Caenorhabditis elegans: one gene and its partner. The protein of the gene in region 1 interacts with the protein of each later gene in a pairwise test. Each region holds a gene or a part of one and is shown on either strand. Other genes may lie near its edges.

Region 1 (7,342 bases):
TCCCTTTTTTCTTGTCGTCGTTCCTCCACTGATTAAATATCACATTGATCATCATCGTCCAACGTGAAGAAAAGGCGGGAGCGACAAAATGGAACTGCCTATGCCTCTCTCTGTCAATTGGTTCTGACTCATCTGAAATAGGGTAACTTTGACCGGCGGCCAACGCCCTTCTCTTTTCAAAATGGGTATATAACAACGCCAATGTCAATCGAATATTCAGAGCACACGACTCAGCTGTCATATTTTTTTGAGAAAAAGTGTTTTTATCTGAAATTTTCAATTTTCCGTTTTCAAACTTAAGTGACCCCTTCCGGTGAACTTTTTTGCCAACCGTCTTTGATGATTTCCATTCCGACCTCCGGTGCCCCCAAAATAACAGTGTTGACAGAGAAACACAGTCAACATTGGCAGACCTCCTTTTGATTGCGCCCCTCTTTTCGCATTCTAACTCTGTTCACGTGGTATTTACCAAAAAAGTCGTCGGTGGGGTCGGCGAAGATTCGAGACGAAGGTGAGAGCGGTTAAAACCACGCCCAAAACTCTCCAACCTTTCCATGCAAGACAGAACTTATAAAAGCTTGCAAGATTTGTGTTCCGGCTTTTAGAGGTTTTCACTTTTTGTTCACCGATTCTTAACTTCCATTAAAAATTAAAACTATGATAGCGCACATTGTGTGACATTGTGTTTTGGAACAAAGGTTAATAGTTATTAGGTTTTATGTTAAACTGTGTGTTTTTGTACTTCATCGTTTCATTGCTGCCGTTCCCCATAACCGGAATAACAATTATTATTTTACAGAAGTACCACACCCCCAGTTCAAAAAATGACTCTTGCAACCCGTCATGCCGATTTCACTCGTGACAAACTCTGGAAAGAGAACGACCTGTGGCTCGACGATTTCCGTGATTGGCCTCTTGATTGGCCAAAACCAAGGGACTTTTTCCACCGGGTATCCAATTCATTGGGGGCGGCTTATTAGTTTCCGATAGTCAATTGTTAGAAATAGGCATAGGGGGCTATTCATCCGCGACCTACCTCTACACGCTCTTCACTCTGGCTACTATTATATTTTGCCAGGCGTTTTACTGTTCAAATCCGGTCGTCGTCGTTGGTCTACTTGACAGCCCTACTCGAATTTACGTACATATACACCATTAAGAGAGTCAAATCTCACTGCTTTCCCCTTCTTGGTTTATTTGTTCCATGCCAACTGAAATTTGGCAGTTTTCACCAGTTTCCCCTAAATTTTCCTCAAATTCGAATGCTCTCTCCTTTTCAATCTGAACAAACATTTTGTTTTTTTTATCATTTGAAAAAAAAGTGAAAAGAGAGGAAATCGGCAGCCAATTTCTCCATCGATGAATCAGAATATTTTGTGAATCATTTTTTTTTTTGCATTTCAGTTCTCCCGTGACGTCGACAGTTGGTGGAAGGATTGGCCAACCGATTGGCCCCGTATGGACGCCGTCATGCCAAGAGTAATAATTCAAATCGCATGAACAGAAACACATCGAAACTTTTTTGCAGTTTTCCAGTCAACTTGATCGCATGGATCGCAACTGGAGGAGTGATCCATACTGGATGAATCTCTACCCAAGATGGGCTGAGCCAATCTTCAAGGAGGGAATTGACGTAAACTCCAATGTGGTTAATGATGATCGTAGATTTGCCGTTGACATGGATTGCTATCAATTCCGTCCTGAAGAAATTCAAGTGAAAACTCTTGATGATACTCTGATGATTGAGGGAAGACATGAGGATATTCGTGATAAAGATAACTTCACCAAAATGTACTTTGTCAGAAAGTACCAACTTCCAAGAGACGTAGACTTCAACTCGATTCAAAGTAGTATTGATGCCAAAGGACGTCTTCAAGTTGAGGCTGGAAAATTCAACAACATGGCATTGCAAGGTCGCGAGCGTATGATCCCAATCGAAGGAGCCGGGCACCATTCACCAAGATTTGAAAATGGAACACTCCGTTCGCAACGAGGACCAAACTCGCCAATTCATGTCCAGACTGAGCACGACGGGAGGAGCGTGTCTAGCAGAAGTGGATCGCGATTGAATGATAGTCCAGGATCGAGAGACGTGTATTCTTCTCATTCTTACAGGTAATCCTACAGATAATGATAGTGAGTATCTGAAAATAAAAATTTTCAGCTACCACCGCAGCGACTCTCGCAATCGTCTCTCCCCAAATGATGTTAACATCACTAGAAATGACAACCGAACATATAGCCCAGTCACTCCTCGTATCACAACAAGTGGTAAGTTTTTGAAAATACATAGTTAATTCAAATTTTCCAACTTTCCAAAACACTGCTTTCTGTCGTGTTCTCTTTCCACATTTCATTTTTCTTTCTATTTCTCTTTTCTATCTAGATCCCATAATTACCTTCAGAGCGGACAGTAACACCGGAACAGCGGTCGCCGGGTCGAAAAGCGTTCGAAACCATTCGAAACAATTTTGAGCGAGGTCATTTTTGCAATTTCGCACATCGCGTTTCTCTTTTTTAGTTAATTTACACACATTTCACACGAATTACTTCCCACTTCCCTCATCACAATTAGAGTAAACTTCCAACAGTTTACTGACAATACTTTGGATTTTCTCATCAATCACAAATTAACTACAACATTAACATGTTGCGCCTTTGGTCAAAAATGATCGTTAATGACACATTATTTGTTGAAAACTTGGATTTTGAAAATTCGAAAGTTTTAAAATTGGAATTTTAGGGTCATATAATACTGCTGGAAATGCAAATCTTCACGAGGAGCGTTCAAGCTCTCGCGCTCAGTCTCATCGCTCAGAAAGTCGCAATGGAGGTGAGTTTTCGCTATACATTGAGGGTTCTTCAATCAACTGAAGTGGTAAAATTTTTCAGGATACCGGGTCGAGTCACCAGTGAGCACTACAACTGGAATTCTTCGTAATGGAAACTCGGACTCACCAAACTCAACTCAACGCGAGTACCGATCAATTCAAATTCTCCGCAAGACATATTAATTGGACCAAAAACCTTATGCTTTTACTCATACCCGTTCTCCTTCAAAACTTCACAAAATTCTGCCTACAGCTTTTAAAACAAAACAATATATTTTCTGATGCTTCCATATACTCTATTCACAGCTTTTCCACTTTCAAATGTACACCTACTATTATACATAAACATTTATGCTTTTTGTTTACTAATTTTTAGTACGATTTTGTTGGTTTCAAATCTAGAACTTGAGGTGAGAAAAATATGATGATATAGAAAAGATGAAAAGAAAAATGATGGAGCCACAAAAAAAAACAACAAAATACAATCATTTCTCACTTTGATAATACAATCCATTCGACGCTTCTTTTCTATCGATCATGTCCCGTTATCCACCGCTGGTCACCAAAAAAGAAATCATCTACCGGCGTTTTATTGATGATGTGAGTTTAGTCTTAAAAACTAAAGAAGTTATTATTAAAATCGAATTAAAAACAACGATAATTTTCAGATATATATATATATATATATATATATATATTTAAAATGCAATTTAGAATAATAACTTTTTGATAATTGATTGCAAAAATTAAATTTTGACGAAAATTCTAAAACTCCAGTTATTCAAAGTACCAGAAACAATTTTTATTTGTAGCATAATGAACGTTTCGACAATATCGTGAGAAACCCTACATCATATCCTCCAAGAGCTCCAAAACCAGAACGTCCGCAAAATTTGGTTGTAAGTCACAACTATCACTCTGACGTGGAAGCTGAGGTGAGCATTACTCTGCAAAAAATTTGTTTCAACATTTTTGTTTCAGTACCAACTCTCAAAAATCAACAAAAAGTTGGATCGTATTATTGAAATTCTTCGGAGCCCATCGACCAAGGTATGTGCACAAACACAGTTGTATTGTTCTTGCACTAAACCGTCCGAAATGCTTACTTTTTATTCTTTCTTTCTTCTTTTTTTGAAACTTTTCATTCAGAAAACTTCCCAAGAGCCTCCAATCATTGACGTCGCACGCCAGGAGCAAACACGTCAATACAAGGATATTTGCGATAGGCTCGACAAATTGGAGGCTGAGTTAACTGTAAACATACATTGGAAAACAAACCAGAATACCAGATGTTTTAGGGTAAAACTCAGTTTGTTGCGCCTCTCCAAAATGAAATTTCATTATTGACAAATAAAGTTCACGAATTGGCCCAAATACAAGAGGGTTTAAGAGTGAAGCTAGTTTCGAGCAACATTGCAGGAGAAGACATCGATGAACTTTTGGTATGAAAGATGTTAAAAGGAAATCTTCAAAAAAAAACTTTTTTTCAGAAAGTCATCAATGAGACCAGAAGAGATATGGAAGAGAAAATTGGGAATATCAAGCAACTGAGTGACGGAAATTACATTCACCTGGAAGATAAAGTATGCCAAATCATATAGAACCCAACCATAAAACTTGTTTCCAGCTTGATGGATATCTTCGCAACCAGCATGGCATTCAACTCCAGGTAGACCATCTAATGCAGCTTCTGACTCATAGCTCTCGTCCGGCATCTGCTATTGGCTCAAGACCCGGTTCAGCTGCGGAAAAGATGAGGTAAATGATTGAATATATGCATTTATATGTACATATAGGTAACTCCTTATCTATAAAAAAGTTGATTTTATTTAAATTCCAAAATCCATATGTCGCATACCTCTGATCACCACCATGACACAAAATGTTTTTAGTAGTGTTTCCCGCTCATCGTCAAAAAGTTCAAACTTGAAAGCCAACCTTGTCATGCCAACTCGTCGTTCTCCACCACCGAAAACCCCAAGTGAAGCTAGCTACGCATCGACTCGCCCAAAAACTGAGCGTTCGTCATCTCACAAATCGGCAAGCACGGTCACATCATCTGCAACTATCACAACATTGGACAGTGCCAAAAGAAAGCCTCTCGCAAAAAATGCTTCACCAAAGCCACCAAGAAGTCCGGTGTTAGAAGTTTTGGAAAGAACAAAAAGTATTGAAACTATGAGTAAGTTTGAATTTTTTTAAATTTAGTTAAAGAGTTTAGAATAATTTATTTAAACCATTTCCAGATGAAATTCACACTTCTCAAAAGCTCGACGAATTGGCCATCGAAACATCATCTTCTGGCAGTTACATCGCTCCTCTACCCATCAACGGACGTCGTGATTCTCAACCAGCTAACATTTTGCTAACGCAGAAATATTAGGATATTAAATAATGATTGTTTTTTGCAAATGCTTTGGGATATGGGGTATTTCAATCAATTTTTCTAACCTCCGATAACTTTATTTTTTGTCGTCACAACTATATATTGACGCATGCTAGCTTCACATTATACACATGAATTGTCATCATTGCATAGCTACCGTAATATTGAATTCTAATTTTAAAGCTAATGAAGAAAATCAAACGACGCGTTAAATGAAATAGGGCGCACCAAAAAACAAGGGTCGAGTCAGAGTGAACTTTGCTCACAAAATTGGAAAATTCGGGAGCAGAATCAGTTTGAGACTGGCGGGACCTTTCGGAAGAAAAGGCGGTGCAAACATTGAGGTCATCATTCTAGAAAGCGTTTCTTTCGAAAAAAAGTCACAAGAAGACAACTCATTGTCAATTCTCGTAAAAAACAACATGCCACCACCATCATCACATTCAAACATTTTTCATTCGACGTTCAAGCACACCGTTAAAGAAACAATGGCAAATGGTAGGTCATAAATGTGCCCCTTGGCTACAGAGTTATAGACATACTTCTTGAAGTATAATATGTTCCTCGGCCATGCAATATTGGAACAGTGTTGAATTTCATTATTTTGTTTTCCTGAAATCACTTGTTTCATAATAGTTTGCCAATATAACGCTCTGATGTATTCTGGTAGTACCATAAGTAGGAACAGTTCCGAATGTGAGTTTTAAAATAAAAAATCGCAGACAACATTAACGTGAAAAACACTTCCAATCAAGAATGACGAAACCTGATACATTCCTCTTAAAAAGTGTCATCCTCTTCAATTTCGATGTGTCTCGAGATTTTCAATTGTTTCAAAATAGGACTATTATCTGTCACGAGTTTCATTTAAATAATTTACTGCGTACTGCTTAGCTCAAAATGTATTTATCTAAACGATCATGTAAGTTTCACGATTGACAATTATACAGTCCAGTGGAAGTTTGTGACACTCCAAATTTTTGGTTTGATAAAAGTTTGAATGCAAGATAAATGTAAATCTCAGAAAACACAATCTTAATTTTTTGTTATGTCTGAAAAGAAACTGATAATAATTTTGACACAAAATCATCAAGTCATTCATTTTCACGTTTTAACAAGGCTGTCGTTTTCTCAATTTTTTCCACAACTTAGATGGTCTCTTTGAACTTGCAAACACACGGGATAATTTTTTTATTACAAAAAAACGTAGAAGTGTTTCTTGTATTATGTTCACATGCAGTCTATCGGTGCACAAAAGTTATAAAACTTTTGCACCTGCGAAGTGAATTTGCAAAGTGAATTTTTCAAAGCTTTTGAATGAGGGGTATGTTAGATGTTTTTCAAGAAGTAAAGCATTTGACCTCGCTATTTGTGTGTGTGTTTTTTTTATATTATTTTGCGTTGCTTTTTGCGTTTACATGTGCTGAAACTTTAGAAACTACGTTTTAAACAGTGATATTCAGTCATAAAAGTTATTATATAAAAGAAGTTTACAAAACGTCTACAGAAAATACATGAACATTTTATTGATAAACACAAAAGACCAGGACAATGCGGAACTTATTTTTAGATATTCCTTGCAGTTAGCTTTTTTGATAATTTACTTAAAAATTTTTTAAAGTCTTAGAGACAGTCCTTTTTGTGTTTTTTTGCAATTTTGAATCAACTTTTTTCGTACTTCCTAAAGTTTTTTTTGTAGTTTCCTTCCAAATCCGTATTATCTAATATGACTGACTACACTTTTAAGTTTTTTCGACATTTTTCAAGAAGTTTCCAAAATGTATTTCTTGTTGGTATCGGCCCCTTCAATTTCAAAATTGTTGTTTAATTGTGTTAATGTGTGAAAACTTGACTTTTTGGTTGCTTTGAACGGGCGTACCTGTTTTCGCCTCTGAAATTCCATTAAAAACCACCTGCCTTTTTTGATTTATCTTCTGCAAATCAAATCTAACTTGAACGAAAAAACAATCACGAGTATTTAATTAAAAGTTGGCGCGGCTCATTTTATTCTAGTCATTTTGTGCCATGCCGTATCGGGTTTTTATCAAAAAATCTAATAAATGTTTCTATTCGAAAACCCAATAAGTCAACTTGAAGTAGATTTATTTCGGTACATTTTCTCATG
Region 2 (7,583 bases), on another chromosome or scaffold:
AATGGAAAGTCACTTTCTTGTCGGTGTTCATTTTTTTACAGCCACCTGTTTCTTGTTGTTTGTGGTAGGCTTTACGAAATCGCATTCTAAAGTAAATTGAGCTTAATTTTTAATTTCAGAAATTAAAATAGAAATGTCTTAAATTATCCTGAAATTCATCAATTTTAGCGAAAATGAATAAATCTTCATTTTAATTTAAAACTTATCGACTTGATCCGAAAATATGAACTTATAGACTTTCGACAAAAGTTTTCAGTTTTTGAACTATTTCAATCGCGCGTGGTCTTCTTGTTTTTTCCCAGGTAGTATTCGTTTTATTGCGGATATCACGAGTTTTTTGGTCTATCAATTTTATTATGAGTATAATAAGATTCTACCATTTTCTTAACCTCTTAATTTTGTGTCGACCGAAGCCACTCCAGATAATCGATTTTTAAAATTTTATAACCAAATTGATCTATACATTTAAAAAAACAAGTTCGGTGGAAATGATGCATGCACAAAAAATACACATATATTCTAGGGTGTATCAGAAAGGGGGAGTTGTGAACATTCAAAACCTACACTTGATCTCAGCGTTTTTTCTCGCTGCCACTTTTCGAATATGATCTGGAAACGGAGTGAGTGTGTGTGTGTGTGTGTGGGATCACCTGACACAGATTCACTGTCTATTTGAGTGAGTGAAGGGCAAGGCAATGAGCACGGATCAATCATTTTCTCGGCTCACCACCATCATCCCTCACACATGCCGAAAGGGTAAACATCATCAAAAAGAAATCAAGAAAAAGAAGCTTGAAGGAAGTAAGAAGAAACGGGAAAATGTGAAGCCAAAAGCAAGCCAATTTCCTGATGTCTGAAAGCTAGAGCTTCTGGGTCCCATTGGGCTCCCTCTATTCATGTCACCCCGGTTAAACCCATTATGTGGATGGAGAAGATGGAAAGAAGCGCCAATTTTTTATAGCTCATACGCTTGATCGAGCCTTATGTATATCTCGGGCGGAAACTTTGTTTTTTCTGTGTGTTTATGTATGTGTTTTAATGGTTTTAGTTCCTATAATAGTCAGAAGCTCGAACATCAAATGACCTACCTTTCCCTCGTCGAAACGGATGGAAAGATGAAGAGGCACGTCGTTGCCGGAGAAATCTGGAGAATCCTTGTGGAGATTAATGTTGAACCTGCAAGTTTCTTCGGGTTAGAATTCGAATGAATATTGTCAAAATCTCGATTACCTCTTGGACTCATCGATAGTCTTTCCACGAATGATCAGAGTTTGTCCGGGCTCGATGCGCTCGGTGAGCTTGGAACGGTATGGGATGTTCTGAAATAATACGAAATATTAACTTGAGTTGTTGGAATTTGTTTTTGAGCTATTCCCGAAATTCTCGGTTTCACAAAAAACATCGGGAGCCACTCAAAAACTTGATGGTTAGATTGGACATCACTGGTTGAAATTTAAACTGAAAAACTGAAAAAAAGAGAAACTGAAACTGACTGAACTGACACAAAACTGGACAAACTAGAACTAAAGTTCACTGCAAGAAAAAGCACTGCACAGAATTTCAGATTTTCACGGTCCTACAAGAAGACGATGAAAATCTGCACCCAGAACCCCCAATAAAAGTCCTACGATATATTTGGCACAGTGCCAAACCGACGGCATATCATCTCCAATCGTTTCGTAGCAAGTTCCCAGTGGGTAGCACGATGAGGTGCTCGTCGAGCAAGAGCTGGATGTCGAGCAACTCGGCAGACACGGCGGCTGCTCTTTTTGGTTCTTTTTCTGATATTGCTGAAGCCACGTTTTGGGACTCAGTTGACCATGGTCACCAAGTCCCAAATTAAGATTCTTGATCGACAACAGTTTGGCGGATTAGACGAAGGGAGCTTCGGGTAGAAGATAGAACAAGTGGGGGTGACAAAGTGAAGCAGCAACTAGGCTTCAAGAGTAGATGCTGGGGCGGGCGGTGGCTCAACGAAGGGAAGGGAGCCACCAAAATGTGGGCGTGGCCTATTTCTCAAGGGGAAGAGGCTACTATTGTTTTGACACTTGGCCACTTGCCAGCTGGATTGAAGTTGGAAAACGAAAGAAAAATACACATAAAGTGTGATGTGACTTTTTGTTGAAAAAAACGTTTTTTGGAAAGTTGAGTTGAGAGTAAAGTTCTCATGTCAACTTTCATGAATCTTGGCAGAATACAGCTATACGTCACTATTTGTGGCGCAAAGTTCAAAAGTTTAAATCAGCTACCAACTAGGTTCAAAATGTTCATGGCGTTAGAGCAAGATAGAAGAAAGTTATGTAAGTTGTTCATAAATTATATTATCCAGTTGTGTAACAATCCGATTTTTTGAGGCAAAATAACGGTAAATGGTCTCGACGCGATCGAAAAATTTTCACTTGCGCATTTAAAGAGTTCGTTCCGCAATTTTTATCGACTTTGCTCTTAAAATTTGGCAGTTAAGGAGAAAATAGCATTAAGAACAGGAAGCCGAAACTATTAAACTTTTAATGACGCATATTCCATTGCTCAGAAAATTTTCAGTCGTGTCGAGGCGTAATTTTTGACCAAAAATGAAATTGTTTCGCAACTTGGTAATAGGCAGTTGCTAACAATCATGGGGTTCGTTTGTGATTATTAATAATAGTTCAAAAACTGTTTCCAGATTTCCAAATGCCCGCTGCAAAAACCTAGTTCATGCTCATGGGCTAATAAATATAAAATTATTCAATTCCAACAAATTCTCACTTTTTCTTGTTGCCAATAGAGCGCAGATTCTGCCACCCACAATGAAAAACTGACACTAATCTTGAAATAGGAGAAAATAAACAAAAAGAAGAGGGGGAAATCCTCCTTGTCTTTTCTTTTCCTGCTCAATTTTTCTCTGCCTGATATTGGATTACACCCGGAATTTCCGTTTCGCATCTGATTTTGACTTTGTTGCAACAAGTTGCACACACACACACCGGATTAAAGCCTAAAGTTTCCCGGAGCACAGAGCATAAAACAATTTGTCTACGTCAAATAAATTTTTGGAGAAAAAGAAAAATGAGCATGAATCAAAGGGTAAACTAACAAAAGGGGGAGTGAGAAATCTAAGCGAGTAAGAGAGCAAAAGGACATAAAATGTTTATGGAAATAAGGGGAGGCGGATGTGTATGTCTATCTGTGTCAGTTTTGGCTTCAGTTAAAAAAAGAAAAGTTGAAGCAAAAATATTTGAATTAATTTGAATTTCCACCGACTCAATTGTACTTTTTCTGCAAAAGAGGGGGAAGATTGTGCTAACGGTTCGTGCACATAAAGGCTTTTAGATTTATGACGTGGTTCCTATGAGCCCCGGGTCACATAACCTAACAAGAGGAGGATAAGCTCCTATGGGAGCTCGGCTCGAACTAAAAATAGCAACTTGAACTGGGAAGTGGATATTTTGAGAAAAAAAAGTTTAAAATGAAGTGAAGATTTGTTTGAAAGTGGAGAATATTAGAATGTATGGAGGGTGTAAACATCGCATAGCATGTTTTTTTTTCCAATTACAGTTCATATTCTATTTGCAGCTTTTTGTTCTACTTTGACAGCGAAATAAGTATTCCAGCACAAAACAAACTTTGAAGCTCATATATCTCCCTAAAAATATCACTGAAATTTTTATAATTTCACAATCAGACAAAAAAAAACATGTTTTCAATTTACAATGTGTTCTTTGTAACTTCTTTACAATTCATAAGCTAGCTGAAATTTCTTCTTATTACTCCCATTCTTTCTATTTACATAATTTCCAGAAATGCTTCAAGCGTACATTTTCAGACCAAGCTTTCTCCACTTATGAAAATTCAATCTTTGATGTCCTTTTTACCACCACCCCCACACTAAATTACAATTGTCTCTTGTTCGAGCACATAAAAAGCTCCATCGTGCTTCTTCAAGATTCAAACCTCAATTTTATGGTTCACCAAGTCGGCTATTTGTGTTAATAAGGGGGTGGCATTTCCGAGAAGACTGTAATGGGGTAGAACAGAACAACACGCAATGTTTTTTGTGTTAGAATTTCCAAATTAGGAGGAAACTGTCATTTTTGAAACTCAAAAATGAAACAAAAAACAGAATCACATGCACACAAAAAAAACAAAAACCGGAAAGATTGCATGATCGAAAAAAAAAACTTACGAAGGATTTCGGCTCGGCCATGATGATCTCTCGAAGATAAACGGGGAGTCGAACGGTGGTCCTGAAAAAATTGGGAATTGAAATATTTTATGATATTTTTCATAGCTGTTAAGGAAAGTGAGAAGTTGTACAGAAGTTGGAAAATTACATAATTATTTGCTCTAAAAAATTTTCGTTTGTACCAACATACCCATGACCTCTCTTTTTCTTTACAGTACCATTAGTAGTAGGTTCTGTAACTGCTAGACTTTTCGATCTTCGTCGAAACATTTTTATAGGAGAGAATAGTTCAAATTTGGCGATGTTCTCCCCTATGTGAGATGTACAATATTTGTGTTGGTTTTGAAGAAGAGGTTATGGCTACGCTGGTATCAAAACTATATTTGAACATCATAAACGTTTTCGAAAGAGTTTCGAGAACTAAAAGGAAGATTAAACAATCCGAGGTTTTGTGTGAAGAAAAATAGTATATATTTGATTGAATTGTTACAGAGAATGGAAGGAAGAAAGAATGTGATAGATTGTAGAAAAAGAATAGGCGGGAAATAAAAGTGTGAGTCATGGAATTATGGGAATGAATTCCCGTGGATCGTTTTGGATGCAGGGAAAATTATAAATGATTTGATTTGGTTGGTTGCGAGAAATGTTATAAAATTATACCAGTTGTTGGAATCTGAATTTTTCATGCAAAAAATGATTTTGGAAGTTGTCAATTTGTCAGAAAGCGGCTGAACCGTAGCTCGAACTATTTTCGATTAGTTTTAAGGTTTTAAAACAGGGATAAAGTGTTATCAAGACTATTACTTCTGAGAATCTGTATGACTTGGAGTTTTACGAGAAATCCTTATTGGGAAAATTTGACAAAGTGGGCATAAAGATTGAGCTTCTAAATTAATCAAGTGAAACAAACTACAAAAAAAAACAAAAATATATAAAATTGAACAACCAAAACTCACATAATTCCAACTAAATTCAAGTTAACACCGACAAGAGTCGAAATATCAGAAACAACACAAGAAATAAAAATCAATCAAAACTGATAAATTGTGAGGTTAACAGGTGGCGAGGGGTTTTTCCCACTGCTGCTGATCTTTTTTATTTACTTCCCGCACGTTTCATTTTTTTGAACTCAGAGACAAAAATTATTGGGTGTGGAAAATGAGATACGCAGGAGGGATAAGGAGAGAGTTGGACAAATAATTATATGTCATTAGATTTTGAAATTAATTTGGATTTCGAAAGTGATTTGGAAAACCTACGTTTTTTTTAGGCAGAGTTAGTATGCTCACGCTAGTAGAAGTGCTTGCTGGAACCATGGTTTACAGTTTAAAAGAAGTGAAAAAATTTCAAAAAGTTTTTACTTTAAACAAAAACGCAATCATCCAGATTGCCGCAAAAAATACAATGTACAGCTTTTTTTACACAAACAATTTTTTCAGAAAAATCCAGATGCAAATTTGCAAGAGAACTGTAAAAACTGCACATTTCAGTCACTATTTATACCAACTGTATACATATAGTTGGTGAGAAGAAAAGAGAAAGACAAAAAATATATATACAACATAATGTATCTTCTCACTTTTTTTGCAATTTCTTTCCTAGCTACTACTCCACCTCTTCCTCCTACTCTTCTATCCTTGCTCTCCGATCACTCATTTGCCTCTTTTTCATGCTTTTCTTTTCCATCACTCAAAAATTTCAAAAAAAAAAACGTTAACGAAGAACATATGACTCAATTGAGGTCTTGGATAGTGAGTGAGAAAAGATATCCGATATGTTGCAGTTGTCGTTTTTTTTTTTCTTTTAGGTTTTAATTTCTAAAGGAAAAAACTCTTACGTTTTTCACATTTTTCGATGTTTCTGAATTTTAAAAACTAGAGTGTGATAGTAGAATTTCAGCGGGAAGGTTGAAAATGAACAATAGAAAAGAAAAATAATTGAATGTGATTAACAGAAAAAGAAAGAAAAATACATAAAAACCAAGTATAAGCATTTTGAGACAATGACTCACTACAACTTATTTATTATTTTCTATTCCAATATTTTGAAATTTAGTAGATTTTTTTTTCCGAATTTTAAAATAAACAACAATCAGGGATCGACTTTTGCTATTTGGCCTCGAAAAAAACTCGGTCATCGATTTATATTTGATATTTTATTCTTAAACTTGAAGATCTTTCAAAATTTTAAAAATTTTGGCCGAGCCGATTCAAGGAAGGAGTCTATCTAATTGGCATTTTGCCAAATTTGAAAAAAAAAACGGTGAAAATTTCCAACGGTTTCAATTCAGTAAAATCTAGAAATTTGGAACTGAATCTAAAAAATTCAAAATCCTGTTTCTGGAAATTGAGGTGACGTTGAGAAGTTAAAATTACTAAAAAATTCGCACAGTCGTAAAATGACAAAGAAAACGGAACACACTCAACATGTTCAGTGTCATCGGTTTCTTGAAAAAAGCCTAGCAGTATAAGTGTCACTTTTGCCAACTATTTCCAACATTTCAAAAAGCAGAAGAAGCAGAAAAGCTCATAAAATTCCGACGAAAACTCGCTTCAGAACGACAAAATAGGCCCCCCATGTTTCACATAAATATTTTCAGGGCGTTTCGTGCCTGAAAACCGGTTTTTTCGATTTTTCGGGGCCGGTGGCATTGGTGGTCGCCGACGTAACTATTTTATCAGTTTTTGTGTAAAGGGGTACTTAGATTGTAGGTACTTATATTGGTTGATTTTCTTGATTGAAAGTGGCATTTTCTATTTTACTTTCAAACTGCAAGAGACCACACAAAAAAATAGGGAAATCGCAGAGAATGAGCTAGAATTCCATACGGCAATCCATGTAAAATTGAGGCAATGCAAATTTTCATATACGTTTCGACGCGTTGGCACTCAATTGAAATGATGAAAAAGTGGAGAGATGAGAGAGAATCCGGAAGAGAGAAATGAAAACATCAACAATAATAAATAATGATGAGGGTGGAGGATTACGCAGATTTGTAAGCGCAAATCATGAAAAATAAAAGTTGAAAATTTACGTTATCTTGTCATGCGGTGCAAAGAGAGTTGAAAAAAGTGAAAATTAGAATTTTAGATATCAAATACCGAACTAAATTACTAGAGACTCTAGAGCTTAAGATTTCAAGCAAAAAATCACCAAATATTCTTTGAAAAAATAAAGCTTTCAAGCGTTTCAAGCTTCAAGTCTTGAAAGACTAAATTTATAACAACTTTATAGTAATAATAAGTAGTCTGATTTCTTTTATATTGTAAAGGATTCACTTTTACAATCAAAAATTGCAGTTTTCGAAGAAACAAAAATTTAATGAGCACGGTAAATTTCGACCACGGAACTTCTATTTCAATAAATAAATTCCAATGTTAGATCAAAAAAGTTCACAACCAGCCTCTCCTAGTATCTA

Evidence for each region. Proteins that work in one complex are often made in the same cells at the same time.
Region 2: the proteins of C14F11.4 (region 1) and lec-3 interact in a two-hybrid assay, tested with the Caenorhabditis elegans proteins (one large-scale study listed by BioGRID).

The regions. Positions count from the first base shown.
Region 1 is NC_003284.9:6,228,999-6,236,340, reverse strand, and holds C14F11.4 (AIP3 domain-containing protein), read left to right. Parts: upstream 1-3,292; 5' UTR 3,293-3,368; coding exon 3,369-3,431; intron 3,432-3,643; coding exon 3,644-3,766; intron 3,767-3,812; coding exon 3,813-3,881; intron 3,882-3,980; coding exon 3,981-4,085; intron 4,086-4,129; coding exon 4,130-4,273; intron 4,274-4,321; coding exon 4,322-4,414; intron 4,415-4,458; coding exon 4,459-4,589; intron 4,590-4,723; coding exon 4,724-5,013; intron 5,014-5,077; coding exon 5,078-5,214; 3' UTR 5,215-5,435; downstream 5,436-7,342. Other genes in the region: hsp-43 (SHSP domain-containing protein), read left to right, coding at 825-950, 1,405-1,479, 1,529-2,115, 2,165-2,271, 2,406-2,480, 2,744-2,833, 2,893-3,014; lite-1 (High-energy light unresponsive protein 1), read left to right, coding at 5,640-5,715.
Region 2 is NC_003280.10:9,988,012-9,995,594, reverse strand, and holds the start of lec-3 (Galectin), read right to left. Parts: upstream 4,436-7,583; coding exon 4,356-4,435; intron 4,233-4,355; exon of another isoform or gene 4,227-4,232; coding exon 4,166-4,226; intron 3,339-4,165; exon of another isoform or gene 3,258-3,338; intron 3,141-3,257; exon of another isoform or gene 3,020-3,140; intron 1,976-3,019; exon of another isoform or gene 1,662-1,975; coding exon of another isoform or gene 1,629-1,661; intron 1,453-1,628; exon of another isoform or gene 1,320-1,452; coding exon 1,231-1,319; intron 1,177-1,230; coding exon 1,089-1,176; intron 610-1,088; coding exon of another isoform or gene 573-609; exon of another isoform or gene 340-572; intron 1-339. UniProt on the Caenorhabditis elegans protein: Binds galactose.